Rattus norvegicus: one gene and its partner. The protein of the gene in region 1 purifies or fractionates together with the protein of each later gene. This does not show direct contact. Links are inferred from orthologs where the notes say so. Each region holds a gene or a part of one and is shown in the gene's direction. Other genes may lie near its edges. The genes, in order: Cstf3 and Cstf2t.

What was found.
Region 2: the proteins of Cstf3 (region 1) and Cstf2t purify together in Homo sapiens (co-immunoprecipitation; 4 studies listed by BioGRID and IntAct, counting the BioPlex papers as one, with this or other methods). This does not show direct contact. The link is inferred for Rattus norvegicus from reciprocal best matches to the Homo sapiens genes CSTF3 and CSTF2T.

The regions. Positions count from the first base shown.
Region 1 is NC_086021.1:111,472,689-111,488,770, forward strand, and holds part of Cstf3 (cleavage stimulation factor subunit 3), read left to right. Parts: intron 1-3,061; coding exon 3,062-3,094; intron 3,095-4,793; coding exon 4,794-4,891; intron 4,892-5,913; coding exon 5,914-5,980; intron 5,981-6,098; exon of another isoform or gene 6,099-6,124; coding exon 6,125-6,159; exon of another isoform or gene 6,160-6,240; coding exon 6,241-6,367; exon of another isoform or gene 6,368-7,648; coding exon of another isoform or gene 7,649-7,767; intron 7,768-7,828; coding exon 7,829-7,906; intron 7,907-9,166; coding exon 9,167-9,329; intron 9,330-11,466; coding exon 11,467-11,576; intron 11,577-12,465; coding exon 12,466-12,582; intron 12,583-12,997; coding exon 12,998-13,072; intron 13,073-13,640; coding exon 13,641-13,784; intron 13,785-14,841; coding exon 14,842-14,944; intron 14,945-16,082. UniProt on the Homo sapiens protein: One of the multiple factors required for polyadenylation and 3'-end cleavage of mammalian pre-mRNAs.
Region 2 is NC_086019.1:238,359,832-238,376,621, forward strand, and holds Cstf2t (cleavage stimulation factor subunit 2 tau variant), read left to right. Parts: upstream 1-6,210; 5' UTR 6,211-6,279; coding exon 6,280-8,169; 3' UTR 8,170-9,777; downstream 9,778-16,790. UniProt on the Homo sapiens protein: May play a significant role in AAUAAA-independent mRNA polyadenylation in germ cells. Directly involved in the binding to pre-mRNAs.

The DNA.
Region 1 (16,082 bases):
AAGTAAAACTAGGGCTGGAGAGGTGGCTCAGTGGTTAAGAGCACTGACTGCTCTTCCAGAGGTCCTGAGTTCAATTCCCAGTAACCACAAATGGCTCTCAACCATTTGTAATGGAATCCAGTGCCCTCTTCTGGTGTGTCTGAAGACCACTACAGTGTACTCATGTAAATTAAATAAATAAAACTAACATTCTGGGTTGGGGATTTATTAGCTCAGTGATAGAGCGCTTGCCTAGGAAGCGCAAGGCCCTGGGTTCGGTCCCCAGCTCCGAAAAAAAAAAGAACCAAAAAAAAAAAAAAAAAAACAAACTAACATTCTGAGCCTATAGTCAGAAGACCTTAGACGTACAACGAAAAACAAACACTGACAGATCATACATTAAAAGGAAGATGTATTGTTGTTTTGTTTGTATTGCTTTTGTTTTTCTTTTTTTAATGGATTTTGTTTGTTTGTCTTGGTTTTTTTTTTAAAAGATTTATTTATTTATTTTATGTGAATGCACTCTCGCTGTCTTCAGACACACAAGAAGAGGGGATCGGATCCCATTACAGATGGTTGTGAGCCACCGTGTGGTTGCTGGGAATTGAACTCAGACCTCTGGAAGAACAGTCAATGCTCTTAACCACTGAGCCATCTCTCCAGCCCCCTGCTTTTGTTTTTCAAGACAGAATTTCTCTGTGTAGTCCTGGCTGGTCTGGGACTGGTTCTGTAGACCAGGCTGGCCTGGAACTCAGAGATCCACCTGCCTCTGCTTCCTGAGTGCTGGGATTAAAGATGTGTGGTACCATGCCCAGACTAAAAGGAAAAACAAAAATTTTTTAAGTGAAAAAGACATAAATTTACAGGTTCACAAACACTTTGGGTTGGATTTAACAACCACTCTATGAGATGTATCCATACTAGGCAAAGATCCTGAGACACGGTGGGTCATGGGCCTAAGGGGGAACGTACTACAATTATTCTGACAGTACATTGCAATAAAATGACTCCTAATGGCATACTGTTACCCACATAGAGCACAGCATCTCTTAGCCTTCATCAGAGAAGCTTCCTTTTACAGTAGATGAGATTAACAGAGAGTCTTAATGGACAGTGTACAGAAAGAGAGATTTTGGAGCATTCAGCCCTGAATGGGATGTCTTTATTGTGTTTCTACCCTCGAAGTTCAGGGATCTAAGGGAAGGGGCAGAAAGGTTGTAAGAGCCAGAGGTGTGGATGATTTTAAGGGAGTATCATTTTCCAGACACAACGGGAAATATACATAGATCTCACAGACTGATAGGGTGCACAGACCTGCCCAAGCACAACCTGACAAAATCCCAGCTCAGAGGAGGGGAAGTGGGCGCAAAGTCCACTCCCACACCAAAAAGCTGCTTGCAAATGATAGAGAGAGGGAGTGACAATGTAGGTGTGCCAGCCACACTCCAGGGCAGACCCCACACTCAGGAGTGCTTAGTTGGCTAACATAAACCAGGCTCTATAGTTTGCCGTGGCTTTTTTCTTCTGTTTTGTTTTATTTTTTTTTTTCTCTTTTTTTAAGAGAGAGGGGAAAAATATGAGGTAGGGTGGTGGAAGGATATGGGAGGAGTCTGGGGGTGGAAAAGAATATGTTAAGTAGCTGGACATGGTGCCCACCTCTTTAATCCCAGCCCCCTGAAAACAAGTGGATCTCTGAGTTCAAGGCTGGCCAGTCTACAGAAAATGTTCCAGGAAAGCTGGTGGTTCATAGTGAGACCCTGTCTCAAAAAATATATTTTAGGAGTCTCTTAAACAACCCTGACCTACAGCTCAAAAGAGGGTTTCTCATGTTGAGTGTTGAGGTTTATGTTAGATGGTCCAAGAGACGCCAAAACAGACTGTTATTAAAGACAACATGCACTTCAGACAGAAGCCCCTGAGTTGGATCTACTCTGAAAGCCACTTCCCTGAGGACTAGTTTTCATGGTGTCAGAAGGTACCACGTAAGCTTCCAAAGGAGGGAAGCAACCAACACTCCTACCCAGCTATGTTGCCTATGAATCACAACAAAGACCAGCATGGCACATAGCCCTAAAGTGCAGTAGTGGCATGCCAAAACCTAGTAGTCCAGCACAGTCCCTAACTACAGTCTAAGGATGTGTCCATGTAGCCACAGAAAAGTGTAGTCCTCACTGCTTATCAAGGAAAATTCTCTTTGCAACAGAGAAAACTAGAGTCAATCACAGGTAAAGCCCACACCCAACTGATAAATCAACACAACTGGACCTTAGGCTCAAGGGTTGTTGTGGGAAAAGGGATGGAATGATTGTGTCTCCTAGGAATGTCAGACGCTGCACCCATAAGGTCTCACCAACATGACTGCCTAAACATTAGCTTAATTAGGTGGCTACTAATAGACATGCTGATATGAATGGGAGCTCAGAAGGCCTCAGCCCTACACAGAGAACTATGGACAACTAAGGAATGCTGAGAGCAGACAAGTAGTCTTCCTAGGGAAGAGTCACCAGTTGGCTATCCAGTATCAAATGGTCAGTCCTTAAAATACAAGTAACATCAAATAGACTGAGCAGCTGTGTTTATTTAAGAATATCTATATGTATGTAACAACAGTGAAAAAGAGCCATGAATTTGAAAACAAGGAAGGTTATATGAGAGGGTTTTGAGGTGTAGGAAAGGAAGAAATGATGTAATTATAATCTAATATATATTATATATACACACACACTTATATATGTGTGTATATGTATGTATATATACTGTATAAATTTCTCAAAAATAAATTTTAAAAAATTGCTAGTTTAACGGGTATACTAAATTCCAAGCAAAAATTTCTGGCAGTTATAAGCTAATAAGTGATTGCTTTGGAAACCAGTTCTCCCCTTCACAATGTGGGCCCTGTTAGTGAAACTTCTGGATCACATGTGTGTACCATTATACCTGACTTATTTGTTATTTTGAAGGAAAGATTTATAAGGTTGATTTTAAAAAAAAAATGGTCAAAAAATTAGTCAAAAATTCAGAAATAGTATGTTGATATTGTAAAAAGAGTAACGTCAATCCTATTTCCTATGTTTCTCTTCAGATTAAAGCTAAAAATTATGACAAGGTTGAAAAGGTAAGTTCTTTTACTATATTTTGAAGTTTAAGAGTTTCTTTATGGGGGTTGGGGATTTAGCTCAGTAGTAGAGCACTTGCCTAGCAAGCGCAAGGCCCTGGGTTTGGTCTTCAGCTCCGAAAAAAAGTTTCTATATTACCAATATGATATATAAATATGGTAAAATGATATAAGTTTCTGAATCCAGGTAGTAGTTATATATTATAATAATATTTCACCTTTTTCAAAGCTTAAAAATTCGTTAGCTTTCAGGAAATATAAATTAAAGCTACTTAGAAATTCTAATTTATTCTAGTCAAAATGGCTAAAACCAAGAAAAAGATGTCACTAAGTCCCGCTGGAAAGGGAAGTGCTTCAACACCGTTAGTTGGGTATAAAGTCGTGCAGCCCTATGGAAATTAGCATGGGAGTTTCTCAAAAACTGAGCAGTGGGAGCCGGAACTGCTGACCACATGGTTAATCTCTGCCTTTCAACCCCATCACTGCATAAAAACCAGACTTGTAATGCACACCTATAACCCAAGCCTTTGGGAGGTGAAGACGGGAGATTGGGAAGTCGTTTTTAGTACATAGTTATGTTAGGTCGAGGTCCCGCCTGAGAAATAAGCTGCAGCAGTGTATGGTAGCATATGCTTTTAATCCCAGCACAAGGGAGGCAGGGGTACCTGGGTCTGAGTTTGAGGTTAACCTGTTTTACATAGAGAGTCCCTGGACGACCAGAGATATGTAGTGAGACCCTGTTTCAAAAACAGATAAATAGCTATATGTGGCCCAAGTATACCAGACTTGGCTATATATTCAAAGGATTCTAACTCCTACCATAGAGGTATTTATGCATCCATGTTTATTGCTATACTGTTCATAAGAGATATACCCAAGTATACCAGACTTGGCTATATATTCAAAGGATTCTAACTCCTACCATAGAGGTATTTATGCATCCATGTTTATTGCTATACTGTTCATAAGAGAAGAAATGGGCCAGCCTAGATGTCTATCAACCAATGAATTAAAAAAAAATCAGTATATATGCAGAGTGGAATCATTACATTTGCAGGAAAGTGAATGAAACTAGATACTAGATATCCTGTGTTAAGCAAAATAAACCAGACGTGTATGGAATACACTGGCCATGAGGGCAGAGGGAGCGATTGGGAGACAGGGAATGAGTAGGAGTGTAGGTGAGGAGAAGTAAGGGACAAGGTCAATAAGGGCAAAAAATGAACATGCCTCAATGAAATTTATTTCATATGCTAATTTGAACTGAGAAAACATTACAAAAGAAAAATAATTGTATTTGTTCACTTATATATTTACTTATGGTTCTGGGGAAATGAAAGGAAATGACTATATTTGTGAAATGCATGGGCATGATTTTGATTGTCTAAACTGAAAGGATTGTTATTTGCCTTTTCAAAATCTGCACCACATGCATGCCTGGTGCCCACAGAAGTAGACATCTGACCTGCTGGAACTGGTGTAATGGATGGTCGTGAGCTGCCTTATAGATGTTGGGAATCAAACTAAAGTCCTCAGGCAGTGCTCTTAACCACAGAGTCACCTCTCCATCCCTCTTATATGCCTTTTATTAATAAGAAAATTAATTCCTGAAAAGTCTGACTATTTTAAATGCTGTTTCATTCATGCAAATATGAAATGTATTTATCTGGACGCTGATACTATTTTCTTATATTTAAAGCTATTTCAAAGATGCCTTATGAAGGTTTTGCACATTGATTTATGGAAGTGTTATCTTTCATACGTCAGAGAAACCAAGGGTAAACTGCCAAGTTACAAGTAAGTGAAATCATGGTATTAAGAATGCATATTGAGGGCTGGAGAGATGGCTCAGTGGTTAAGAGCACTGACTGCTCTTCCAGAGGTCCCAAGTTCAAATCCTAGCAACCACATGGTGGCTCACAACCATCTGTAATGAGATCTGATGCCCTCTCCTGTTGTGTCTGAAGACAGCTACAGTGCACTTATATATAATAAATAAATAAATCTTTTTTTTTAATAAAAGAATGCATATTGAGCTAGGTGTAGTGGTACCCACCTATAATCCTAGCACTGAGGAAACAGAGAGACAGGTATACCTCTGAGATTGAGGCCAGCCTAGTCTACAGATTGAGTGCCAAGACGGCCAGGGCTACACAGAGAAACCCTGGGCCGTGGCTGGTATTGATGCATGTGGTCTCTAGACACAATCATTCCCACATGTCTCACACCAGCTCTGAGCTATAGGTAAGAAGAAACCTAAGTATTTGAAAAGTCAGAATTCTCCAAGAAATCAGGAAAAGTGGTTTAAATAAAGCCACAGGCACTAATCTTACACTTGAGAACTGACTCAACCAAATTTTTCTGTATTAAAACACTGTGTATTTACAACATGATAGTACTTTTTTGACAGGCTTGTCAAACTTTTTCGAGAAGCTTTTTAATGATTGTCTTAGCACATGCTCATCAATTATATGGTACAATGTCCACTTAGGATGTCTAAGGCAGCTACTTAGTAGTGAACTCCGCACTGTGACATTCCTATCTTCAGATACTCTCTCAGTGGATGTTCTCTGACATGTTTGATAGTAGTTTTAGGTTTTGATTAGCTTCTGATTTCTTTTCAAACAGGGTCTTGCTTTGTATCAGAGTAGTATGGGGTATATACTAGATATCCTAGGCTAGCCTTGAACTTACTATATAACCCAGAATGGCCTCTAACTCAGGGTAGTGACCCTGCCTCAGCTTCTTGGGATAACAGGTATGGGCCATAAACCTAACTAATAACAAATTTTTAAAATTATTTTTCATGTTCCTTTCAGAGAAAAAATGGCTCAAGCTTATGACTTTGCACTGGATAAAATTGGAATGGAAATTATGTCCTATCAGGTAGAGTTCAATTAAATATATACACAAGGGCTGGGTATATAGTTCAGTGGTAGTGTACTTACCCAGCATGCATGAGACTCTGGGTATACTCCTAAATATGAAAAAATATCAAAAAACATATTAACATTTTTTTTTATTTCTTAGATTTGGGTGGATTACATCAATTTCTTAAAAGGCGTGTAAGTATTGTCTTAATTTTTATTATATAAACAATTGATTTAGCTATAATACAATTAATGATACTTTTTATTTAACTTCAGGGAAGCTGTAGGATCTTATGCAGAAAATCAGAGAATAACTGCTGTCCGAAGAGTTTATCAACGAGGTTGTGTTAATCCAATGATCAACATTGAACAACTCTGGAGAGACTACAACAAGTATGAAGAGGTAAAATAAGCCAGAGTTTACTACAAGCTGGCCATTTTAATTATTATCTATTGTAAACGTAGGGAATCTAGCTTCTAGTGTCAAGTGCCTGAATATTAGTGTTGCCCAGTGTCTGTTGCTGCTACTGGCTTTTGTTTTGTTGCACCATGAATTAAACACTGAGCTTTATGCATATGAGGGAAATGACCTACTATTGAACTATATATTCCTAGACATGTTGTTTTATATTTATTCCAATAAAGAATTTATTTTTTTAAATAGTACTACAATAAACATTAATTTGCAAGTATATCAGTGGTATGATGACTTCAGTCCTTTGGATCACTACCCAAGAATTGTATAGCTGGATCATTTAGTGGGTCTATATGTAGCTTTTTAAAGAAATCTGTGTTGACTTTTGAATTAATTTACATCCCCACCAGGAATTGTTCCTTTTGTCCACATTGTTGCCAGCTATCATTGTTTGCTTAATGACTGATTTGACTAGATTAAGACAGAATCTCATGATTTCATGTCTATAAAAATTCCTGGGCTAGGAGCTAGAAAGATACCTACCTCAGCAGTTGAGAGCACTGGATACAGAGGACCCAGGTTCAATTCCCAGTACCCCACATTGTGACTCACAACCATTTGTAACTCCAGTTTCAGAGAATCCAGCTCTTCTTCATGGCTTCCATGGGCACCAGCCATGCACTGGTGCACAGGCATAGCTCAGGCAAAACAATAATACACATTTTTTTTAAAAAGAAAAAAGTAAAACAAACAAACAAACCCTTGTCCAGTAAGACGGCTCAACAGGTAAAGGCATTCTCTGCCCTGCCTGGTGGCCTGAGTTCAGTACTCAGCCCCCACATTGTAAAAGGAGAGGAGCCACTGCCGGAAGTTGTTCTCATCCCCAGCATGTGCTACAGTATGTGCACCCACCCATCCATCCACACAAAGTAAAATAAAGATGTGTCCTATTGGGCTGGGGATTTAGCTCAGTGGTAGAGTGCTTACCTAGGAAGCGCAAGGCCCTGGGTTCGGTCCCCAGCTCCGAAAAAAAAAAAAAAAAAAAAAAAAAAAAAAAAAAAAAAAAAAAAAAAAAAAGATGTGTCCTATTAATAGGATTGGATCGCCCACTCACGATTGACAGAGCGGATTCTAATGTAGAGGCGAAGGAACACATGTAGCATTGTGATGTGTAGAAGCCACCGGACAACTGTGTGGAGTCAGTTCTCTCTACTTATACCTGGGTTCTAGAGATGGATCATAAGCCACCAGGCGTTTGTGACAAGAGCTTTACCTACTAAGCCGTCTTGCATGCAGTCTACTTATTCTTTCCCAGCTGCACGTGAGGCTCAGTGTAGTGTTTGTCTGGCTGCCTAGCATCCAGGAGGCTGTGGGTTCGATTTGCAAAACTGTAAAGAGATATTTTAAAGAAAAGAAAAAAAACAGTTAATAACGATATTTTTTCCTTAGGGTATCAATATTCATTTAGCTAAAAAGATGATTGAAGATCGAAGTAGAGACTACATGAATGCTAGACGTGTAGCAAAGGTATGAAATTCTATGGGCTACTTAATTTAATGTTACTGAATTATTAAAATAATTAGCAAAGCTGTCCCATCTGGTATTACTCTTGATATTTTAAATCATTTGAGTCTTAATTAATGACAGCTAATTATAGCTAATTGATATTTGTCTGAGTTGATGATTTTTGGTTTTGATTCGTTTTATTGAGGACAGGATCTTTTTATGTAACAATGTCTGTCCTGGAACTCATAAAACAAACCAGAATGGCCTCACACTCATACAGATCAATTTGCCTGGCAAAATGATATAGTTAAATTAAAATAGTTATTTAAGTTATATTAAATGGCAAACTATTTGTTGGACTTGGAAAAAATTGTGTGTGTGTGTGTGTGTGTGTGTGTGTGTGTGTGTGTGTGTGTACTGGGCATTATCTAACCTAAGGATTCCCATACATTAGGAAAAGTTTTACTACTGAGTCACATCCCCAGTCCAAAAAGTATTTTGTTTGTTTGTTTGGTTGGTTTTGTAACAGAGTCTTGCTATGTAGTGCTGACTGCCTTGATGTAGCCCAGGCTCCCCTTGAATTCACAATGCTCTTCCTGTGTCAGCAGCTTCCCAAGTGTTAGAATTATAGGCATGAGCCATCATGCTTGGCTAAAAATATTTTTCAAAACAGAGATTTGCATAGAATTATTGAAGTAGTTGATACTTTCCCTTCATCTTTGCTTATCTGAAAATTGTGTTACTCTGCAGTCAGTGCACTTATAAAATACCATAGCTCTGTGGGACAGATTTTGTGCTGTATACATACCTTTCTATTCATTGGGGAAATAGCCCAATAATACAAAAGCTACTAGTTTCTGCCACGTTGTCAATAACAACGCTACCAAATCTCACTCGTGCTATCTTCTACATCACCCTTCCTGCAGAGAGGCCCTCATACACTGCCTGCAGAGATAGTCTGTGAGTATTCTGTGCACCACTCCTAGGCGTCTGGATTTGTTTTGTGATATTCTATTATGCCTTTTCTTACTCTTGTGTTTTGTTTTGTTGTTTGTGGATGTTATTTGACTTCTGTTTCTCGAGACAGGGTCTCATATAGCCCAGGTTGGCCTTAAACCCACTGTGTATTTTAGGATAACCTTGAATTCTAAAATCACAATAACAAAGTGATATTAGGGGTAAGAGAGTAAACGTCTAAACAAAGTGTTTCCAGCCAATCAAGTAGCTCCCTTTATATCTGAGTTGGTCTGAGCTCATCAGAACCTTTCAATGCTTGTTTAGGAATACGAGACAGTGATGAAAGGTTTGGACCGCAATGCCCCTTCAGTGCCCCCTCAGAATACCCCTCAAGAAGCTCAGCAAGTAGACATGTGGAAGAAGTACATCCAGTGGGAGAAGAGCAACCCCCTGCGTACCGAGGACCAGACCCTCATAACAAAGCGAGGTGAGGCGGGTAGCCCGGGACCGCAGCTGCTGTGTCTGGGGCTGTTCAGTCCTAGCCTCCAGGATTAGCCCAGCGCGGCGCTGCTCCTCCCACGCACTCTTGCCTATTGCTCTACAGGTCAGTGGCTTCCAGCTCACTGTAGACCCCAATGACCTCCAACTCATTAACCTCCGTATTAGCTTCCTGGGTCACAGGAATGCACTACCACGAGGCTGGGGGTTGGTTTTGTTGTTGTTGCTTTTGTTTGTTTGTTTTCTGAACTTTTTGTTTTTCTACTTGTGTTTTTTTTTTATTCATAATCATTTCTATAGATCCATCTTCATGATCAGTTTCCCCTTATTTTATTATCTTCAATCTGATGTTAAAATAATCCAGCAAATTGTTCATTTTATATACTGTACTTTTTAGTTCTATGAATTTCCAGGAAATTTTTATAATTTTAATTTCTCTATTGAGATTCATATGTCACAATGTGTGTTTGTTTTGTTTTGCTTTTTAATTTTAATTTTTAACTGTATGCGTGTATGTATGTTTAAATATATATATATATATATATATATATATATATATATATATATATATATGGATGTTTTGACCAAGGGAATGTCTTTATATCACTTATAGGCCTGGTATTCTAAGAGACCCAAAGAGGCCATTGAATGCTCTGGAATTGGAGTTACAGATAGTTATGAGCTGCTATGTGGGTGTTGAGAATCGAACCCAGGTTGTCTGCAAAAACAAGCGCTCTTACTCTCTGCGCCTTCTCTTCAGCCTCTATATGTGTCTTTAGATCCTTGAGTAGGATTATTGCAGTAGAGTCCTCATTGGATCATCCCTTCAGACAGTGGGCCATCATGAGCTTGGTTTCCTTTGACTTTTAACTGTTGGTTACTTTTTCATGTTTTGTTACCCATATAATTTTTTTCTTTAAACATTTTATGAATGTTTGAATAATAAAGACTAGATTCTGTTGTCTTCTTTGAAGAATACTGAGGGCTTTTTTTAAAGGAAGTTGAATTATCATCTGTTTGGACTTTGTATGATATGAACTTCACCTTTGCCCATGGCCCAGTCTGCTCTGACTCCTGCTTCATTCTGCAATGCGCTTAATACTGGGTGTGTGTGTGTGTGTGTGTGTGTGTGTGTGTGTGTGTGTGTGTGTGTGTGTGTTTCTGTTGTTTTTGCTGCTGTTATTGCTTTTGTTGTTGTGGCTTGGGTTTTTTGGGGGGCTTGCCTTCAGTTTTATTACATAATATATGTATATGAAGACACATACATATAGACACATGGGTGAAGATAGAGAAGTGCCAGGAATTTAGCATGTATGTATATGCTAAGCTAAGCAGATGCTCTGTCAAAGAGATGCTTTCTGTTTTCAGTTTATAATCTCAGAAGAGCTAGTCTTTTTGGTTTTTTTCTGTTGTCATTGTTTTTGTTTTGCTTTATTTTTTATTTCTTGTTTTTCAAGACAGAGTTTCTCTTTTTTAACATCCCTAGCTGTCCTGAACTCACTTTGTAGTCAAGGCTGGCCTCAAACTCACCAAAATCCATCTACCTCTGCCTCCCAAGTGCTGGGATAAAAGGTGTGCACCACCGTCACCCACCCAGAAGGGTTAGTTTTGTACAAATCACTGTTACTGCTGGATTGGCACCTCACTGAATTCTTCAACTTTGCAGGTTCACCTAATTAATGGCAGTACTGTTTCTTTGCCTACATCTATTTTGGAGGCTTGGAAATTAAAGCCAGAACCACCTGCACGCCAAACAAGAATTGTACCACCGAGTCACATTTTTGGCAACCTCTGCTGATTTGTATACACTCTTCCCTTTGTTGTTCCATTGACCAGCTTCTGCCCCTCTGGTCTTCAGATAACAGTCACTTAGTGAAGTCACTCAGGCTTGCTTTCTTCCTGTGTTTGTCTCCTATAGGGGTGTGTGTGTGTGTGTGTGTGTGTGTGTGTGTGTGTGTGTGTGTGTGGTGGTGGTGGTCAGAGGACTTTGATAATGGCTGTCCTCTGCGTAGACTATGTCCTTCTTAAATGTTGGAACCAACTATCCCTCATCGTTAAAGACCATGCCTGAGTCTAATGATGCAGCTGAGGTGATTATGATGGCAATGTGTGTTTGTCTTCCCTAGTTATGTTTGCCTATGAACAGTGCCTACTTGTGCTGGGCCATCACCCTGATATCTGGTATGAAGCTGCCCAGTATCTGGAACAGTCGAGTAAGCTGCTCGCAGAAAAGGGGGTGCGTATCCCTCCCATTCCTCTCTTTCCTTTTGTGACTTTGATATAGCAGTAAGAGTAACTGACAAAATGTAACATCAATTTTAGTAATAAAGTGTAATATAGTCTATGCTTAAATACATACATGTGTAACATTAAATTCAGAGGGGAACTATTTGGGAGGTAGGAGGAGAGGCTAGACAAGGTTGGGTAGAGTATAAGGAAAGTACAGCGGTAGACATGGGTGAAAATACCATAATAAAACTCATTATTTTATATGCAAAATATATTAAAAAGTTTTTTTTTCTTTTCTTTTCTTTTTTTCGGAGCTGGGGACCGAACCCAGGGCCTTGCACTTGCTAGGCAAGCACTCTACCACTGAGCTAAATCCCCAACCCAAAAAGTTTATATATAAGAAGTATATGTTGACAATCTAAGCTTGCCAAGTGCTGGCACTCGCCTTTAACCCCAGCCCTTGGGATGCAGAGGCCTGTGGATCTCTGAGTTCAAGAGCAGTCTGCTCTAGAGTCAGTACCAAGATAATCAGGGATACACAGAGAAACCCTGTCTGGAAAAAACAAAAAAGAAAAGGAAATATTTAAACTTATATCAGGATGAACTTTAGTAACACTCATAATTCCTTAGAATTAAAATATGGCTTTTAAAACTGTGTCAAAGTGACTGTTGTTTGAAGCACTAAATGGTAACTGACTTAAGTATGGGAGCTGGGGTGCAGCTGGGCAGTAGAGGCCCTGGCTCAAGCCCTAGAGACTCCCCTCTGCCCAGCACACGGAGAAGTCCTTAACACCAGTGCGCATTTGTTTTCACAGCACGTGCGTCTTAGAGTGCACGCTGCCCCATCTTTACCCTTTCAGCTACTTATACCTTACTGAGGATCCTTTTCCTCCTAGGATATGAACAATGCCAAATTATTTAGTGATGAAGCTGCTAATATATATGAACGAGCCATCAGCACTTTATTAAAGAAGAACATGCTCCTTTACTTTGCATATGCAGATTATGAAGAGGTGAGAAGAGTCAGCAGACTCGGAACTCTGTGTGTGTGTGTGTGTGTGTGTGCGTGCGTGCATGCGTGCGTGTGTGTGTCTGTCTGTCTGTCTGCCTGGCTGGCTGGCTGTCTGTCTCTGTCAGTGTCTGTGTGTATAGCCCTCACACTCACGGCTCTTCCTAAACTTGGTGAATACTCATATCTACTGCTTACAATTTTACTCCAGGACTAAAACTTTTTTCTGGTAGCATCTTTGTTTTTGTAGCCAGAGATGGTAACAACAAACAGTTGTTAGTCCTCGAGTTCATATGAGTTTATGTGAAGTGTTGGTGCCATTGTGTGTGCTATGAATAGGAGTGCAGTCTTCAGGTTCCTTAAAGCTCAGATTTGCTCGTTTGTGAGTATATACTATGTTCACTTCTCTGCCACTTTAGAGTCGCATGAAGTACGAGAAAGTTCACAGTATATATAACAGACTGCTGGCAATTGAGGACATTGACCCCACCTTGGTGAGTAACCTAACTCTTTCCCACCACCATTATCTGACCTAACATAGCAAACATTTAATTGTTACATACAAGAGTCTTTGTTCTGATATCTTATTAGATCCTGGGGCCCTCTAAATAAAACACTGCTGGGCATTGTGGCTCACACTTGTAATCTCAGTGTTTGGGAAGTGGAGACAGAAGGAGCAGGAGTTCAAGGTCATCTTTGAATATATAGTTATCGGAGTCTACAGAGGGAATTCCAGGTTCTGAACCGGCAAGGCTACACAAAAAAGCTTTATCTTATAAAATACAAAAAAGGATTAGTGGTGATTATTGTATGACCTTCTGATGATAATAAAAAGAAGAAAAAAATCACTGCATTATACCCTTTAGAACAATTTTGTGTTATGTAAATTATGTCACAATAAAAATTAGCACGTGTCCCTAACACCTAGGGGAAAGTAGCTTATAACTGTACTCTGTAGTTTCTTATACTAGAAACATTGGCCTACAACTCAGTGCCTTGGTACTAGATACTGTGAAGAGTATATTCCAATTTATATAATACAAATATTTTATTTTCTCATAGGTATATATCCAATATATGAAATTTGCAAGGAGAGCAGAAGGTATCAAATCTGGAAGAATGATATTTAAAAAGGCAAGAGAGGATGCGAGAACCCGTCATCACGTCTATGTGACCGCAGCGCTCATGGAGTATTACTGCAGTAAGGTGAGCACTGCTTACATGAGGATGAGGTCATTGATCCCAGCACTGTAGGCAGAGGCAGGCACATGTCAGTGTGAATTCTCTGCCAGCGATTTACATAGTAAATCTCCTTACCCTCCCCTTCTACTTTAAGTAATCAATTGCTCCATTTTGTAAAGGTCTTAAGCTTATCTACATAAAATTATATTGAACATTATTCAACTCAATTGCTTGCTTATTTATGCCTTATTAAGCTCATATTTCTTTTTTCTTTTTTGATTGATTGGTCATCTCCTGTAGCTGATTGAACCCAGGGCCTCCTGCATCCTAGATAAGCTCTCATATTTTCTCAGGGTGTTGGAGGGCAGTGTTCAGGGTTGGAACTTGATGAGCAAGTGCTCACCGCTGAGTGACCGACTGCAGGTCACCCCTTGGCTGTTCCTGTTTGTTCACTGGGTTTTGTTTTGTTCTGAAGCACATGTCACTAAGTTTCTCAGTCTGGTCTCACACTTTCCATCTTCCAGCTTTTAGTACCCAGGTCTAGGACTACAGGCAGTGAACCACCACAAGCAACTGTGGTAAATGTCTTAGACAGGTGTTGACATTGGCTACTTGGCTGTTTTGTTTTGTTTATGGTGGTGCTGGGGTTGACTGAGGGCTTTGAGCAGTCTGGGCAAGTTCTACCTCCAAGCTATGCCCAGCGCCTTCTCACTTTAAAAGGACAGGTTCTTGTTTCATTCCCTAGGCTGGCCATGAAGTATAAGCATAAAACTCATATTCCGAACTTAACCCCTCGGTTGTTTTTTATTTAGCTCACCCATTTTAATTCTTCTGTGCTTTGTCATATTTAGAGGTTGTGAGAATATTTATTGTTTTTTATTTGTTTGGTTTTTATTTTGAAAAGGTGTCTTGCTATGTAAGCTAAAATGACCTTGAATTTGTGACAATCCTCCCGCCTCCTAGTCTCCACTGCTGGGATTATAGGTGTGCACCACCATGCCTATTATATTCTGTAGTCTAAAGATTCTTTTGCATACATTGTCTGGCATTTCAAAGAAACCAGTACTGTCTTTACTTCTAGGACAAATCTGTTGCCTTTAAGATTTTTGAATTGGGACTAAAGAAATATGGAGATATTCCAGAGTATGTTTTGGCTTATATTGACTATCTCTCTCACCTCAATGGTAAGTTGATTCCAGAATTCCAGAATATCTGTCATGGTTTGTGTGTGTGTGTGTGTGTGTGTGTGTGTGTGTGTGTGTGTGTGTGTTTGTGTAAGAGCCACTTACTGGTCTTTTACCTGTATGTTATGTCTATGTACTAATGTTTTCGTTGCCCTTGGAGGCCAGAAGAAGGTATAGAATCTTCTAGAACTGAAGTTACAGTCAGCTGTCAGCTGCCATGCGGGTGCTGGGAATCAAACATACATGTATGTGTTTATGTGTGTGTGTAGGGTTTATTAGAATGATTTACAGGCTATGGTCCCCTTCTCCAACAATGGCTGTCTACCAAGGGAAGTCCAAGAATCCAATAGTTCTTAAGTTCATGAGGCTGGATGTCTCAGCTGCTCCTCAGTATGTGCCAGAAGCCTGAAGAAATAGGCTCTAATGCCAGTAAAGGAAAGGACTATCCAGTAAAACCGAGACCAGGCTGGCAAAGAGTGATGGCCTCTTCCATGTCGTTATATAGGCTGCCGCCATAAGGTGTGGTCCAAATTAAAGATGGACAGCCCTACCTCATAGCTCTGGGTTAAAAGAAAAAAATTTCTCACAGGTATACCCAGCCACTTGGCTTTTAGTTAATTCCAGATGTAGTCAAGGTACCAACCCACAGAAGCCATCACAGCAAGCATTCTACCAACCAAGCTGTCACCAGTCCTACCGACCATGTATTCATGCTTCCTGAATGATGGTAGATTGTTTGACTATCCAGAGTGGTTTGAATCAGGAAAGAGCTACCACAACTGGTGAAGCTGCAGTGTCCGTCAGGAGACAGAGCTGTCTGTGTTGTTCTCTGGCCACTCTGTGCAACTCATCTCTTGTCTCCTAGGGGTAAATAGATATTTAAAACCTCTCCAGCTAGTAATGTAACAGTAGATGGGTTAGAAGTCTGTAACCCCCAAACCCAAAACTACTTGTGAGGTTATGGGGCGAAGTTTTAAAAGAAGCGTGTTCACTGACACCTTTATTTTCCCACTCTGCTGGAGTAATAGTAATATAACCATTTTCATGCTAGGTAAGTACCCATTCATGTGTGTCTCCATAAGATTATTATTAGTATTGATAGTTCAGGATATATAAATGGGGGGGGGGCAACTGGGAG
Region 2 (16,790 bases), on another chromosome or scaffold:
CACAAGCCATTGGGTAAAGATGATAATTATAGCTAACCAAATATCTGAAGAGAACATCTCATGGTTCACTAAAAGAACTTCATAAACACCACTATGATCAGTAAACCGCTCCCTGAAGAATCCTATGGGATTGAGCCTGAAAATGATTTACGCTCAGCTACAGATGTGCATAGTTGAACAATGTTGCCCATCTTAGAGTTGTCTCTATACAAGTTTAAAATAATAGAATCTAACGACAGACCATTGTCTCTTCAAATCCAGCCCTCTCAGTGACACGAATAAGGCATATCTCAAAATAACATTAGAGTAAGTGAGGTTTGAGCCTCTTTCCACTTAAAAGTCTGCTTTGCATATTACCGTTATATACAAATGCAGAGTGATAATACAGTATGAAAATGATAAAATACAGGTTATGTCTTCAACACAACAATCCAATACAGGTAATAGCATTCTCGCTTGAAAGATGACAAAGCAGAAGTAACGAGAATTAATTTGTCCAAGATGTATGAGTTCTTGTCAACCTAATTCTAAGATTAAAGACTGAAATCTAAACCCCTTCATCCTACTCCCTGAGAACATTGTCTGCTTGGCATAGACTGAAGACCTAGACACAATTACAGATGATGTCAGCAAGCTGGCAGTTAATTCTGGTCCAGGACCTTGTTGTCCTTGTGTTACATGTTCTTAGCCTGTCAATAATAGACTGGTAATTGACTAGACAACATTTGGCTCCATTTAACTTGTAGTCGTGCAGTGGTGTACTTTCAGAGCCTCAGATTTACATAATAGTTCTCTTGCCAACAACAGTGAATCATAAGTGGAATTTACTATTTACTTCCCTCTATGTTCTTTTCATATTAAATGTATTACAAATGTGGGGGAAATATGGCCTCAGAAAGGCCTAATTTGGGATCTGAGAAACCCAGGCTCTTTTATGGAAATGAATTCATAACCTGTGTGACTTGCATGCTTTTAAAAAGCCTTATTTGAGGTTTTATATTGGTCCTATCAATTGAAAAAAAAAGAAAAGAAAACATCTTTCTCAACTGATTCAGTCTTTATATGGTCAGCCCATCAGTTGCCATAGCACTGATTGTCATGTCGAAATTGCAATTAGTAACACTCAGAGCTAATCAGGAAAAAGGCCAATGGAGGCTGTGTCCAGGCCTCGGTAACCCATGACTACTAGGCTAATTGAGCAATAGGAAGCTTAATTTCAAGAGACCTGGTTTCAGGCTGCAGCTTTGCCTCTTACTCTGCATATATGGGCCATTTCTTGACTAGAATGTTCATTTTCAAACTTGATTTCTTGATTGAGGAGTCCCGTGGAACAGTTGCCTGTCCTAGTTAAGACAAACTCATTAACATCACTATGCCTAATTCCAGTTAGCTGTAGCGCAGGACGCTATGGCTGCCTAACTCAAAGACACTTCTAACACATGGCCACCAAACACATACTGTTGCTTTTAGTAGAAAAAGACATTGAGGTGAGCATTGAAGAACAAGAAGTTAAATGTGACGAAATGAATATAAAAACTGGGAAAAGAAGGTGTTATGAATACATGGACAAGGGGGTAGAAAAACAAAGATTGCATGCCATGAAAAATAAGGTGCCCAGGTCAGCCAGAGAAAAGTGCACAAAGTGATGGAGGATGGGTAGTAAACCTGGAGCTACACTGTAGAGGATGCTAAAGGTTGAAAGGCCAGATGCCACACTTAGGTGAAAAGGACTGAAGAGCTTAGCTGGAAGCAATCGAGGTGTGATTGGCTTAAAAAGAAGCCTCCTGACTTTACAACCACAACTGTTCCCCTTGGTCCTGGGAAAGCTGATGCCCCAGTGTAGGGGAATGCGGGGGTGGGTGTGGGGGGTGGGAGGATGGAATGGGGGCTTTCCTGAGGGGAAATCTGAAAAGGGGATTTGAATGTAGATAAAGAAAACAACCAACAAAAAAATGAAAAAAAAACCTGTTTTCATGAATTTAATTTTTAGAACTGTTATACTATGTCCCATCACATGATCACCAGGCACCTTCGCTTCTAGGTCATACAAAACACCAAGTCCCAATGTCACATCTTGGCCAAGTGCAGCTGCTGTCTGAATCGCTTCTGTTCTGTTTGTCTACAGTCGATTGTGAACCGTCCCTCAATACCATTTCCACCAGGAAGCCTCCTTTAGGAATATAGATCTCTCTGGATTACTTTATTCCATTTCTAGATACTCCACCCTGCATATCTAGTTCTTAAAAATAGTATCCTGGAGGAATTATCATCAACCTAAGAATAAGAAAATAGGTGTCCTGGCCGCAGGCTGCTACAATTTGGACTGTGCTATTTAATGTCACTGGTTTCTTTCTAGGTTAAATGGTTTGTTAATACTCAAACTCTAAAGACGTTTGAAATCATTCATTCAAGTAGTGAAGTAACAGGAACTCCCTAGATGAAGCTTCACCACCGCAGCGACTGAGGCTACATGGGTGAACAAAACAACAAAAACAAAACAAACCCAGAAATGAAAAAAACCTCATCTATACATGTTAACTACCATCTGTGTATTTATGGTATGATTCTCTCCCTGAAGTGGAATAGTTCTCCAACTATGACCTTCATTAAATCGCCTTTAGGCCTCCACAAACAGATATCTGTGTTTCTTACAGGAGAGGCATGGGAAACTTTCATTTTTGAGGTGTTTTTCTTTTTACTGGTGAGGCTGATATAACAGTACACAAGACCCATGCAGAGAATTTGTTCTAACAAATTGGTTTTCACACTGCTGTACTGACAGTGTTCGGAAAGATATTTATGGAATAAGAAATAGGAGGCAGATGGTCAAGGGATGAAAAGACCTACATGTTTCCTTGAGTGATTTTGTAGATGCAAAGTCACAATTCTACTAAGAGGCAAATGAATTCATGTCCACAAAAAGGTCCAGATGACGATCCAGTTGCATCCAGAGGAAAATGGAAATATGTTCAACTAACAGGAAGGGGGAGGGACTAGAAAAATAAACTTCGTGGAGTGTTTTGGTTATTTCTTAAGAGACCAAGACAAATAAAAAAATGTCCCTGGGGCTAGAGCTGGGATTACAATTTAGTAGACGACTTGAAGTCCTCAAGTCAATTCTCAGCAGGAAGGGTAAAATGTACCAGACATTTTTCTTCTTCTTTTTTTAAAAGATGATTGTGAGCCACTATGTAGTTGCTGGGATTTGAACTCAGGACCTCTGAAAGAGCAGTTAGTGCTCTTAACTGATGAGCCATCTCTCCAGTCCCCGGCATTTTTCAAAATATCTTAAGAATATGTCTAGATTGGATCTACTTAATCCAGAGTGAATTCTTTTAAAGTGTATTTTATTTATGTTTTGAGGGTCTCGCTGAATATCCATGACTAGCCTTGGAACTAGATATGTAGATCAGGCTGTCCTGGAAGTGTCTCAAATACCGAGATTAAAGGTATGAGCCACCACATCCAGTTTATGATTTTTTTTAATTTAATGTTTTAATACATTTTATAGATTCACAAAGACTACAGCATTTACAATTTGGTATAAAATTTAATTTCTGAAAATAGCTAAAAGGAGAGGGGAGGTCTTACATGTATCTCGGGTTTGCCTGCAACTCAGTAATCCATGCTATCCTTGAGCTCAAAATGAGCCTCAGCCTGTCTTAGGCGTCCATGAGCTTGTGATTCCAGACTCATGACCACCCCTATTATAAATACCACATATTTGCCAAATCTGTCAGATTTGGGTGATTTCGGTGGTCAGTCTTTTTGGTGGAAAACATGTACATTTTTAGTTAAGGCATTTAGTTTTTAGTTTGACTGATAGGTCCCCAAAGTAATCCAGAGTAAGAGTTTAAACACCATTTCTACAAGGGACTAAGGTGACAGTATTTAACAGCGATAACTGTTAAAGTGTTGAGGGTCTCTCTGTGCCATCACTAGCCTGGGACTAGAATAGAGAGCAGGAAGTATCTCAAGTGCTGGGATTAAAGGTGAGCCACCATGCCCAGTTTGTGGTGAATGTTTTATTTAATGTTTTAATACCTTTAATCAGTCAGGTAAAGTCAAAGGCCTGTGGTGTTTGCCTCTAATCCCAGCATCCACTGGGAGAAGCAGGAGGTTTGCAAATTTGAAGACAGCTTGACCTACATGCCCAGTGAATTTCAGGCCACCCTGGCTGCCAAGGGGCACCGTGTTAAAACAACGAAACTAATTTTAGTACACCTGATATCTTAATTTATTGAATTAATTGACAACTGAATGTAAAAATGTACCATATACAGATTTCTTCAAAACATAAGCCATAGCCCTATTCTCTTAAGCCCAGCAGTTGGGAGGCAGAGGCAGGTGGATCTCTGAGTTCGAAGCCAGCCTGGTCTACAGACTAAGTTCCAGGGCTACATAGACAAACCCTGTCTCAAAAAACAAAAACAAAGCCAAGGGGCTGGAGACATGGCTCCGTGGTTAAGAGCACTGACTGCTTTTCCAGAGGTCTGGAGTTCAAATCCACATGGTAGCTCACAACCATCTGTAATGTCTCTCTGGTGTGTCTGAAGACAGTGACAGTGTACTCTAAAAAACCAAGAACAAACCAAAATATAAGCTATGATGTTTTTGGATTTTTTCCAAGTTAGAGCTATGAAAATTATGTATTGGTCATAAAAAAGGCAGTATTCAAAGTATAAAACTGGCAAGAATTTTGTTTTATACATTTCTAGTGCTTAGTCTTCAAAATTCTGAATGCATTTTATTTATACAGAGAACATTGGTTACAATGCTAAACTTTAATTGATAATGCTTGTGTTTATTCAGAATCAATGACATTTTGTCATAGGACAGTACCCTGCGCCCAATGTCTACATTGGTTTAATTGTGCTGGAATTAATTTTAAAAATAAGAAACATTAAAATTCAACTTCGAAGACGCAGAGTAGGAAGACTGCTCAGTGGGTAAAGCACTGCCCCTGTGTATCAAGTTTGATCCCAGGGTAGAAGGAGAGAACCAACTCCTGCGAGTAGCCCTTTTGATCTATATAGTCCACAACTATAAAAGTCACACACACACACACACACACACACACACACACACACACACACACACATCTAAATAAAATGTATTTGTTTTAAAAGTTCTCATTTTATGTAGCTCTGGTTGGCTTGGAACTCAATATGTAGGACAGGCTGCCTTTGAATTCAGTCTTACAGTACTATACTGGGAACCCCGTCCCCCCCCCCCCCGTCTTATTTACACACACACACACACACACACACACACACACACACACACATTATATATATAAAATATATGTACATTATATATGATATGATATACAGTTTAGCTGGGTGTGGTATTGAGTCCCAGTACTTGGAAGGCATAAGCAGAGGATCTCTGAGAGTTGGAGGCCAGCCCAAGCTCCAGGACAGTCAGGATTACATAGAGACCTTGTCAATCAATCAATCCAATCCCAACTACCTATATGTGTACGATAAAAGTTAAATGAAATCGATTCATCCATACTCTGCAGTCATACTTTTTAGTTAATTCCACTTTAGCATTTATGTCGCTTAAAATTCGTAAGAGGAGGGAGGAATGATCACAGCCTGCACACACAGAAGACACCGGGAGGATCCTGGACCTAGTAACAGTTTGAACATGCCAAAGCGTTAATTTATCTTTGCGAGAATTATTTTTTAATGTTTTTAAGATAGTTTAAGGGACAAATATCAACATTTTACCTCAAAATCTTGAATAAGATTTAAAATATTTCAAATATTCTATGCTAAACGAAATCAGCTGTGTAAACACACGTATCAGTAATTAAAACATTAAGCCTTAAATCAGCTTCCGGTTGGCGGTTTCCCGCAGGTGAAACGCAATGAAAACCGCCCCCAATGAGCCGAGACGCTGATGCTGCCCGTAACCATAGTGAAGTCCGATCGGCCATTTTTAATGAGGTCAGTTCTAATGTATCCGGCGACCGCAGGAAGGGAGAGAGGGGGGCGGAACGCGGGGGAAACTCGACCAATAGGATCATGGAAAGGAATCCCACTGTCAGTAACTAGGCGCGTAAAGCAGAGCGCACGGCCGGGGGCGGAAGGTGCAAGATAAATTAGTCCGGTCTCAGGAAGCAGTTTCTGCGGCCTAGCGGAACTATGGATTTCTAGCAGAAAGATTTCGGTCCGGAGTTTGGTGTCTGCTTCCGTTACAGAGCGGAAGTGTGGTTCACCAGAGGACGACCCTTGGACGAATTTACTCTCCGCTAAACGCTCGGCAGGAATCATGTCGAGTTTGGCGGTCAGAGACCCAGCCATGGATCGATCACTGCGTTCGGTGTTCGTGGGGAACATTCCGTATGAGGCGACGGAGGAGCAGTTAAAGGACATTTTCTCGGAGGTTGGTTCAGTTGTCAGTTTCCGTCTCGTCTACGATAGAGAGACAGGAAAGCCCAAGGGTTATGGCTTCTGCGAGTACCAAGACCAGGAGACTGCGCTTAGTGCCATGCGGAACCTCAATGGGCGAGAATTTAGTGGGAGAGCGCTTCGGGTGGACAATGCTGCCAGTGAAAAGAACAAGGAGGAGTTAAAAAGCTTAGGCCCGGCAGCCCCCATCATTGACTCACCCTATGGGGACCCTATTGATCCAGAAGATGCTCCAGAATCGATTACTAGGGCAGTCGCCAGCCTGCCCCCAGAGCAAATGTTTGAGCTGATGAAGCAAATGAAGTTGTGTGTCCAAAACAGTCACCAGGAAGCTCGAAACATGCTACTTCAGAACCCACAATTGGCGTACGCTCTGCTGCAGGCACAAGTGGTGATGAGAATCATGGATCCAGAGATTGCACTGAAAATTTTGCATCGTAAGATCCATGTCACACCACTGATCCCAGGCAAATCACAGCCTGTCTCTGGGCCTGGCCCTGGTGGGCCTGGTGGCCCTGGTGGCCCTGGCGGCCCTGGCCCCGGCCCTGCCCCTGGCCTCTGCCCAGGACCTAACGTCATGTTGAACCAACAGAATCCTGCCCCTCAGCCTCAGCATTTACCAAGAAGACCTGTGAAGGACATTCCTCCTCTGATGCAGACCTCGATCCAGGGCGGAATTCCAGCTCCGGGGCCAATACCAGCTGCAGTTCCTGGACCTGGACCTGGTTCCTTAACCCCGGGAGGAACCATGCAGCCACAGGTTGGCATGCCAGTGGTTGGTCCAGTGCCCTTAGAGCGAGGACAGATGCAGATATCAGATCCTAGACCTCCAATGCCTCGTGGACCCATGCCTTCTGGTGGCATCCCTCCTCGAGGACTACTGGGAGATGCTCCAAATGACCCGCGTGGAGGAACTTTGCTCTCAGTGACTGGAGAAGTAGAGCCCAGAGGCTATATGGGACCACCCCATCAGGGTCCTCCAATGCATCATGGTCATGACAACCGTGGCCCTGCCTCACATGATATGAGAGGAGGACCGTTGGCAGCAGATCCCAGAATGCTGATTGGAGAACCCAGAGGTCCCATGATGGATCAAAGAGGTCTACCTATGGATGGTAGAGGAGGAAGAGACTCTCGAGGGATGGAGGCCCGGCCCATGGAAACGGAGGTCTTGGAGCCACGAGGAATGGAGAGAAGAATGGAGACCTGTGCAATGGAAACCAGAGGGATGGAAGCAAGAGGCATAGACGCAAGAGGACTGGAGATGAGGGGCCCTGGCCCTAGTTCCCGAGGTCCGATGACTGGTGGGATCCAGGGTCCTGGCCCCATTAATATGGGGGCAGGTGGCCCTCAGGGACCTCGACAGGTTCCAAACATTGCAGGAGTGGGAAATCCTGGAGGTGCCATGCAGGGGGCAGGTATACAAGGAGCAGGAATGCAGGGGGCAGGTATGCAGGGAGGAGGGATGCAGGGGGCAGGCATGCAGGGAGGAGGGATGCAGGGGGCAGGCATGCAGGGAGGAGGGATGCAGGGGGCTGGCATGCAAGGAGCCAGTAAGCAAGGTGCGGGCCAGCCTAGTAGTTTTAGCCCGGGGCAAAGCCAGGTAACTCCTCAAGATCAAGAAAAAGCAGCTTTGATCATGCAGGTTCTTCAGCTGACTGCAGATCAGATTGCCATGCTGCCTCCTGAGCAAAGGCAGAGCATTTTGATTTTAAAGGAACAAATCCAGAAATCTACGGGTGCTTCTTGAAAGGTTTTCAGCTAAGAAGTACTTAGTTATTCCTTCAGGGTTTACTCTGTGGCATGAAGTGGGTGCAAAAAGCTGTCTTCTGTGTTCGCACACTTTAACCATTTAAGGTTTCCTTCTCCCCAGACCTTAAATCTTATTTCTAGTTTTGTTACTTTCTGTTTTCCTTTTTATTTTTTGATTGAGGGGAGGGGGTGGAGGGGGGGGGCCTGTTTACTTTGTCACTGTTGACTCTACTGGGTACCCTAAAAATGACTACATCATACAAAATAAGGTTATGAGGAAAATGCGGCAATAATTTGCACTTTTGTTAACTGTGTTTTAAAAATACTGAGTAAACTGGGAACTACATAAAAATTGAAAGTGGCTTGTTACAGTATTGATATACTAAGATAGTTTAAAGTTCTTTGGTTGTATATTGAACTGAATGTCAGAATGTTAAGGTACACTTTTTGGTAAAAGAAATTACTATATTTTGGAGGCAGCAGAGTACTGTAGTAAGGTTAATGTTTAGTTATTTTGGAATTATTTTGAAATATTGGAGCTAACAGTTTGTGGTGTAGATGTGTGTTTTTTTAAAGCATTGTTATCTGTAAAAAGATAATTTTCATTTATCTGACTTTTTTTTTTTTGAGACCATTAATATTCTTGCCTGATCCCAACTGGTAATTTTGCAGGATAGTTGTAGTGTCAGCTGAATTACATAAAACCTCCTTCTTATACATTTCTCTAAAAAATTCTTAAGGCCCAAGTCTGGTTGTAAGTAGTTTTTTCACATCCTTTTAAAGAATCAGACATGAGGTTTGACTTTCTTGAGTAATGGAGGTTTTTGGGGTTTTTTTGTTTTTGTTTTTCAGTAAAGCTCCCAAGTTCTTGATAACCTACTATCCATTCACAGATGGAATCCATTAGGTCAGCAAGAACCAGAAGTTAAAATCTTACTCTATGCCTTTTGATATGTCTTACAGTTTGATAACTTTCACAAACTACTTTTCTATCATCACCTTGCTAGAACTGGGGCCCAAGTGAACTGACAACTCTGCTCAGTTAACTTAATATGTTATTTCTCACAACTCACAAAAGCTCTTTGGTCATAACGTAGTTCCCATGAAGTGTGTTTGAGAATAAGGAATGTGGAACTTAATCCATTTCTTTTAGAGCTACTGTATCATTTTCAATCAATGTGGCACCTGGACACGGTGTCATATTTAGATAATGAGCAGAAACAAGCACAAGCTCCCACTTGACCAAGTGGCATTCCTCTGTGGAAAAATAAATACCCACCTACAGAGGGATGAGCAGCCTTAGGGAGGGAGCTGACCCAAGGTTGTTTTCCCTTGCAAAGTTTGAGCATTTTTGAGTGTACAGAGTTTTCATTCCTAGGCTATTTTCCAGCCATTTAGTTTTTGTGCTAGTGTTAGACTCCTGTGGTTTCCTCTGCCTCCTATGCTGAGGTGGGTTTGTGGTCTGTACCTTTGTGCTAGTTCTGACTAATTCCAATTGCTTGCTTCTTTCGAGACTGCAGTTGCTAGCCCAAAACTTCTTACAGTCTTTGTTATAAGAAAATCTCTGCATTGTTTCATGAAAATTAAATAAAAAGGTTATATAATTAAGGTATTTTGTACGTTTTATTTAATACATTGGGAAATAACTTTTTACGAGATACATGCATGCATACATCTGTAGAAAAAAGTGAAACTAGGAAACCGATGGATACCTTTAATTATTGTATATGTAGTTCAACAGTTGGAATACGAGGAAGATACTGCTAGTCCGTTGTGACACCTCCCACATCAGACATGGGTGTCCTTTGGAATACTGTGTTCAGGTTTCTTAAGCATTGACAGCATTGTACTAGAAAGGATTGTGGTCACTTTACTGGAGGGATTGTGTTTACTCAGAGCCCCAAGTTGTAATAGGAAACGGCGTGGGAAACACCTTACTCATTTGAGTGTACACTGCAGTAAAACAGATGGAAAGGAAGGGTAAAACATCCAGTTTTAGTTGGAAAAGAAATTTCATTAAGAGCAAATTTATCCTCAAAGGACTTAGATTCATCACAATACATAACAGCTCTTTGCATTAAGATACAAATTAGAAAAAAAGCACTTGTATTCTTCAAAAAAAGGACTTCAGGGTCCTCCTTGGCTATGTGAGGGGTTGTTTCTACCCAGGGCCACATTAGTCAAAATACTTTCTCATTTCTAATTAAGAACTTAATTCTGGTATTGATACAGAAAGTAAAGGGCCTTGGTTGATTTATAGGAGACTAGTTCAAACTGTATCTGGTACACGAATTTGTTCACAGTATCACTGAAGGTGACGGAATGTGACACTGATAACCAAACTTTCTTTAGGGCTTTTTACTCTCAGGCATTACATGCTTTGAGGGATTATATCATGATTGCCTGTCACTAAGTATCTTCACAATAGCCTTTTCCTTCCCCTGTTACTAATGAGTGCTGCACGGGTGTGATTTTCTAGAGCTTGTACATTGGTATGGAAGGGATACACTGATTGGCTCTGGCAAAGGTGAGCTAGTCTAAGTGAGATTGTTCCGGGACTGGAATTTTATTGGTAGAAAACATTTCTGAAAATGTGTATCCCAGCTTGCAAATCTTGGTTTTCCATGCTGTGATAGAACATTAAGAAAGCTTGCAGAACCTCATTTCCTATGGTGTGTCGGGCTTTTCTCTTAGGTCTAATGATGTCTTAGGACAATTAGGAGCAGCCACCTACTGTGATAGGGAAACTGAATTTGCGGTCACATCTGAGTCCTCACAGAGAATGTTAGCCCCTGCATTATTTCCCTAGCTAATCTAAACAGACTTCTTCAGTTGAAACGTGTTACTCTCATCGGGGTATTAATCACAAACGGCAAGAAGTGATTTCTATTGAGGAAATCATTAATATATTAAAGCTATGTCCGTAAGTGATATTTAAGTATACATTCTTGATGTATAGTATTTTTAAATACTTATTTTAGATCTAGCAATAAGATCTTGTTATTCTTTTGTGTATATGTAAACACTCTGAAGTGCTTACTGGCTTGAAACTCTTTGAGACAAGTTCACACTATCAAAAAGTAAAAAAAAAAAAAAAAAAAAAACCAGTAAAAACCATACATTGTAAGTAGTAGGGTAAGAGAACCCAAGTAGTTACCAACTGCATAGGGAAATATTTCTTTATAACTGACTTGACTTAAGGCCTAAAGGTGGGTAATTCAATAGGTGGTATAAAATACACTAACTCTGATTATAAATACTTTAATGATTCAGTATGTATAAAATTTATATGCATTTGGAATGAACTTCAGACTATCCAAAAATTGATTTTTTTTTCCTTCCTAAATCTGCTAGGTTAGTGATTTGTGGTCTGCCTCAGTAGAATGAATAATACTGTAGACATAGAGAAATGAAAACTGTTTCTTTCTAACCATGGTGTCTCTCTTAATTAGCTGTTTTAACCAGAATTCTGTCATTACATGAAAAATCTATAAAAGCGTACGGACCATTTTACGCACACATCTGACCACAAACCTCACCTTACTGCCTGCAGTTAGTGTGAAGCAACTTAGACCAATTTTAGAATCCATTTACAAGCTTCTTGTGGGCATTAATAAGGTTTCAAATTAATCTTCCTCAGAAAAAAATTAATTGGCAATAACTCAGTTTTCAACTCCCTTCGTCTTAAGCATTAGCTGTAATAGAACTTGAAATGTGTATCAATTTAAAAAATAGCACGCCTGAGTTAATGTAATGGGACTTTATCGGCCTTGCATAGGGTATTAACATTTATAAAATAATACTTTATATCATAGGTAACATTCTCACGTTAGATCAATATAATAGCATCCAGCATGACTAAAATATTGATAGGTAGAAACAAAATTAATTGCCCATTAGAATTTACCTCATTGCTTTAAGCCGATACCTAACATGATTAACTTTTTAGTCAGTGATGAGAGAAAAGGGGCTCCATCCCGTCTTCTTGTCAGCAACAGAGAAAAATGTGCTAGTGAAACACCTGGGATAGTTACTGAGTTTATTACCAAAACTTTGTCTTTCAAAACCTTCAGGCACAAACTATTGAATTGGTAGCCTGTCGGCCAATTGAACCTGCACACAGGTTTTGCTCAAAACATGTTATTTTGAACGTGTATGTTTTTCCAGTCTTGTGACAGATTCAACCTCTTCCTTGAGTTACAAGGAGTTACAAGGCTGCCAATCGATCCCTGTAATACTTGGGACTTAACAACTGTATTCTTTAGTGGAAATACATGGCTATTAGGGTCCATTAGATTCATTAGTGTCTAATTTGACCTGTATGAAATAAGAACTTGTTTGGCAGGTAGGTGGCTTATCAAGGTTATTCCTGTAAACACAACCAACAAAATAGCCCAAAACAAACCAAAATGATCGCAAAGGCTAAAAATTGTCAATATTATAGATTTTCTATATTAGCCAAAGAAATCCCCACAAGGCCTGCCCAATAATACATACTGTTCTCACAAACCTTTTGAACCTTTAATAAATATTTACCCCAAATACCTATATCTTTTTTAAAAAAATATTTTTTACGTGTGTGTGTGTGTGTGTGTGTGTGTGTGTGTGTGTGTGTGTGTACATATGGAAATCAGGACAATCTGCGGGAGCTGTTTCTCTTCTACCGTGTGGAACCCAGGGATCAAACTCAGGCAGTCAGCCTTGGTGGCTAGTGGCTTTACCCAGTGAGCCATGTCACTGGCCCACTTCCTTTCTTTTGATTTGTCAAGCGTAGTTACCTTCTCTGAACTTAAGTATTTGCTGGGGTTGAGCTGCATTCTTCCATCCTTTACAGAGCAGATTGATCTGTGTATACAGGACACTTGATGACTGCCATTCATGAGGTACTCATTATTCCCCTGTTACAGTTATATCAACTGTGTTGCCCCCAAATGCCTATTTTATTTATTACTATAATATGCAGATGTGAACGTGGGCTGTAGTGGTACACACCTTTAATCTCAACATTGGGGAGGCAGAGACAGGCAGATCTGTGGGTTCAAGATGTTATATAGTCCTTAGTCTAGGTAAATAATGTATACGTAAACTATGCTGCAAAAACACATGATTATTTCTAAATCCATATGTGGGGGCTGGAGGGATGGCTCAGTGGTTAAGAGCACTGACTGCTCTTCCAGAGGTCCTGAGTTCAATTCCCAGCAACCACATGGTGGCTCAACAACCATCTGCAATGGGATTCGATGCCCTCTTCTGATGCATCTGAAGACAGCTACAGTGTACTCATAAATAAATAAGTTTTAGAAAAAGCAATCTGTATGTGTGTATGTATCACACATCAACTGTGTCTATTACATCAGTTGTGTTTTACTGTAAGTTCATACCTACTTGTGCTATTGATAATATCGATAAGACACAGGTATGTTGAATAAGTTTTGACCTAAAAGGTTATTTCTATGAAAACTTACAAAAGATTTTATAAAATTGGGCTAAAAATAAATGTTAAATTCCTCCAGGGGCGAGATCACTTTTTAATTACTTTAGCAGAGCGAGATAGCACATGCCTTTAATCCTAGCACTCTGGAGGCAGGGGTGGGCAGATGGATCTGTGGGTTGGAGGCCAGCTTGGTCTACACAGAGAGGTTTGGGAGGACAGTCAGAGCTACATAGTAAGGCCCCCGTCTCAAAACAAAACAAACCAACACACACACACACACACACACACACACACACACACACACACACACACACACACATTATTTGGGTAGGTAGTTGAATCTGTCTATCTGTCCCTCATTTCAATTGAAAGCAATTTTGAATTTTTAACAAATCATGTGAAACCTTCAGTTTTCTCAGGAAGTTTTCAGTTAATGAAAGGGAAAACCCCCTCAGGAAATTTTAGGGTTGGTATTAATCACCAGCCCTCCCTCTCCACAGGGATTACTCAGGAAAGACAGCAGCTTGTCACCTTTCTGGCCCTCCTCCCTCCTGCTATCCCTGGGGTTAAATGCTTCAGCAAATGGGATGTGTTTTAATCTCTCCCTCCTTTAAGTGGTCCTTGGATGGGCAGCCTGGGTATCACCTGGGGGCATGTTGGAAATGAAGAATCTTGCCTTTCATCTCAGATCTGCTGAGTCAGAATCTACATTTTAATAAAGTCTCTGGGGGGACCTATAGCTAAAAGTTTCCTAGGCAAAACACTGCCTAAAAGTAATTCTAAAATAATAAAACAAAGTACCATAAAGACTACTATTAGGAGAAATAGGTTTTAATTTACCCAGTAACACAGAAAATCAGATTAGGAGGGGAAAATCCCTCCCCTGTCAGAGGACTATGTAGAGGGGACATTTCAGCTAGAAACTATATTTGAACAAGTAAGCACATGAACAGAAACCCTGTTTGTTTATGATAATCATGTAAGCACTGGCCCTGATGAAAAACCCAACATAAAATCCACAGCTGACGTTGTTTCAGGAAGACACTTGCGTGTATTGAGCCAATGTATGTGACCCTTTCATTTTTCTCCTGAGCAGAGGGGAAGTTATATAAAAATTATGGAAATAATACATTTATATTTTATTATATATTATCACCTGAAACATTGTACATGAAAAGTTGTGATGGCCATGTTGTGCCTCCTCGGGATGGATCATATCTTTCATAAATTTATGTTATAATACCTTAATTTTCCTTCACTCCAGCAAGTCTTTACTGTTAAGATAAACTACCCACAAAAAATGCTGACCTCGTCTTAGCACATGACATTCCTCTTCCTAGGGGCCAGGGATATTTCCTAAGAGTGTTTCTCATACCTTATCCCCTAGGCAATGGGAGCATTTGCAAAACTGTAAGGTCATTTTGCTTACTATTCAGTGAGCATTAACTGTGACAGAAACCAATCACCAAGCGCAGTAAGTATTCTGAAGTATCAAAAGGAGCCGGCCAATACAACTTGAACCGTCCAAGGATCAGCCTGCTATCTGATGTAATCTCTAAACTCTATGTTGCAATTTGTGCCTTTCTTTTTTTTTTTTTTAAGATTTATATATTTATTACATATAAGTACAATGTAGCTGTCTTCAGACACACCAGAAGAGGGCATCGCATCTCATTACAGATGGTCATGAGCCACCACATGGTTGCTGGGATTTGAACTCAGGACCTCTGGAAGAACACTCAACGCTCTTAACCACTGAGCCATCTCTCCAGCCCCCAATTTGGGGCTTCCAAGGTAGTCTTTGAATCTTACATAATTAAGGGTATAAACTAACCAACCAACATTTGAAAATTAATCAAATTAGGGTTTTGGTTTTTCTCGAGGAAAGGTTTAGGTTGAGTTTAAGGGGTTGAGCTTAAAACATTTCCAGCAAATAATTTAAATTCAAAGCAACATCTAGCTGTTTTCAGTGCTTTGAATGGGAATGGCTTCCATAGGCTCACTTGTATCAGTGCTTGCCCACAGGGCATGGCACTATTAGGAGGTGTGGCTTTGTTGGAGGAAGTGTATCACTGGGGAGGTGGGCTTTGAGATCTTACAAACTCAAGGCTGGCCAGTGTGACTCAGTCCCCTGCTGCCGTCTGTGGGTCAGGATGTGTATGTAACTCTCTGTTCCTTCTCTAGCACCATGTCCACCTGCACGCTGCCATGCGTCTCACCATGATGATATTGCACTAAACCTCTGAAACTGTAAGTCATCTCCAATTAAATGTTTTCCTTTGTAAGAGTTGCCATGGTCATGGTATCTCTCCATAGTAATGGAAACCTAACTAAGCCAGTGCTGATGTCAAAGCCCCTTGGTGAGGCTGTGAAATGACCTGAGAACATGGGAATCATTACCCATGCTCATGTTCAGACTCTATGTATTCCAGAACTAACCTTCAACTTTAAAGAAAGCTTCCCCGGGCCTTTGGGTGAGCTAGGTAGATGATCTCCTACCTATTTAGCCAACAAAGAAGGAGCCAGGAGTTTAGATTAGAAAACATTGCCCAAGTTAGTAGGAGGCCAAGCAGAGCAAACAGTCAGAAGGCAGATGAAATTTGTCAGCTTGGAGAGGAGTTTCAGAACTGAAATAAGTCTCGACTGAGAACATTCTAGGCCTAGATAAGATTGTACGGATGCTAGAAGCTTCCAGGACTAGGCCTAAGGTAGCAGATAGAGGCAGTAAACCTCCAAGACAACAATTACGTCAGGTGTATAAAAGTGACTTTTATATGTCACTTTATATGTGTATGTATTTTCACTTCTCTTGGGTATAAACCAGGAATGGGATTGTTACATCAGGTAAGAACTCCATAGTAAACTTTAGATGAACTGTCAGACTTCTTTTATGGTGGTGAGACGGGATCTCTCAAGGTAACACTGGTAGTCCTGCAACTCGGTGTGTAGACTAAGCTGGCCTTGAACTCACAGAGATCTGACTACCTCAGCCTGAGTGCTGGGACTAAGTTTCTATTTCTACCCATATGATTCACTTGCCACAAATAGAGCGATCAAATGGAGTAAACTTTTCTTAATGTTAGCATTTTTATTAGAGACAAGCAGATAATAAGATGGTGATGTCTTTAACATGTGAGAGAGATTATTTCTTTCATGATTTAAGAACTGACCTGAAGTAGAAATCA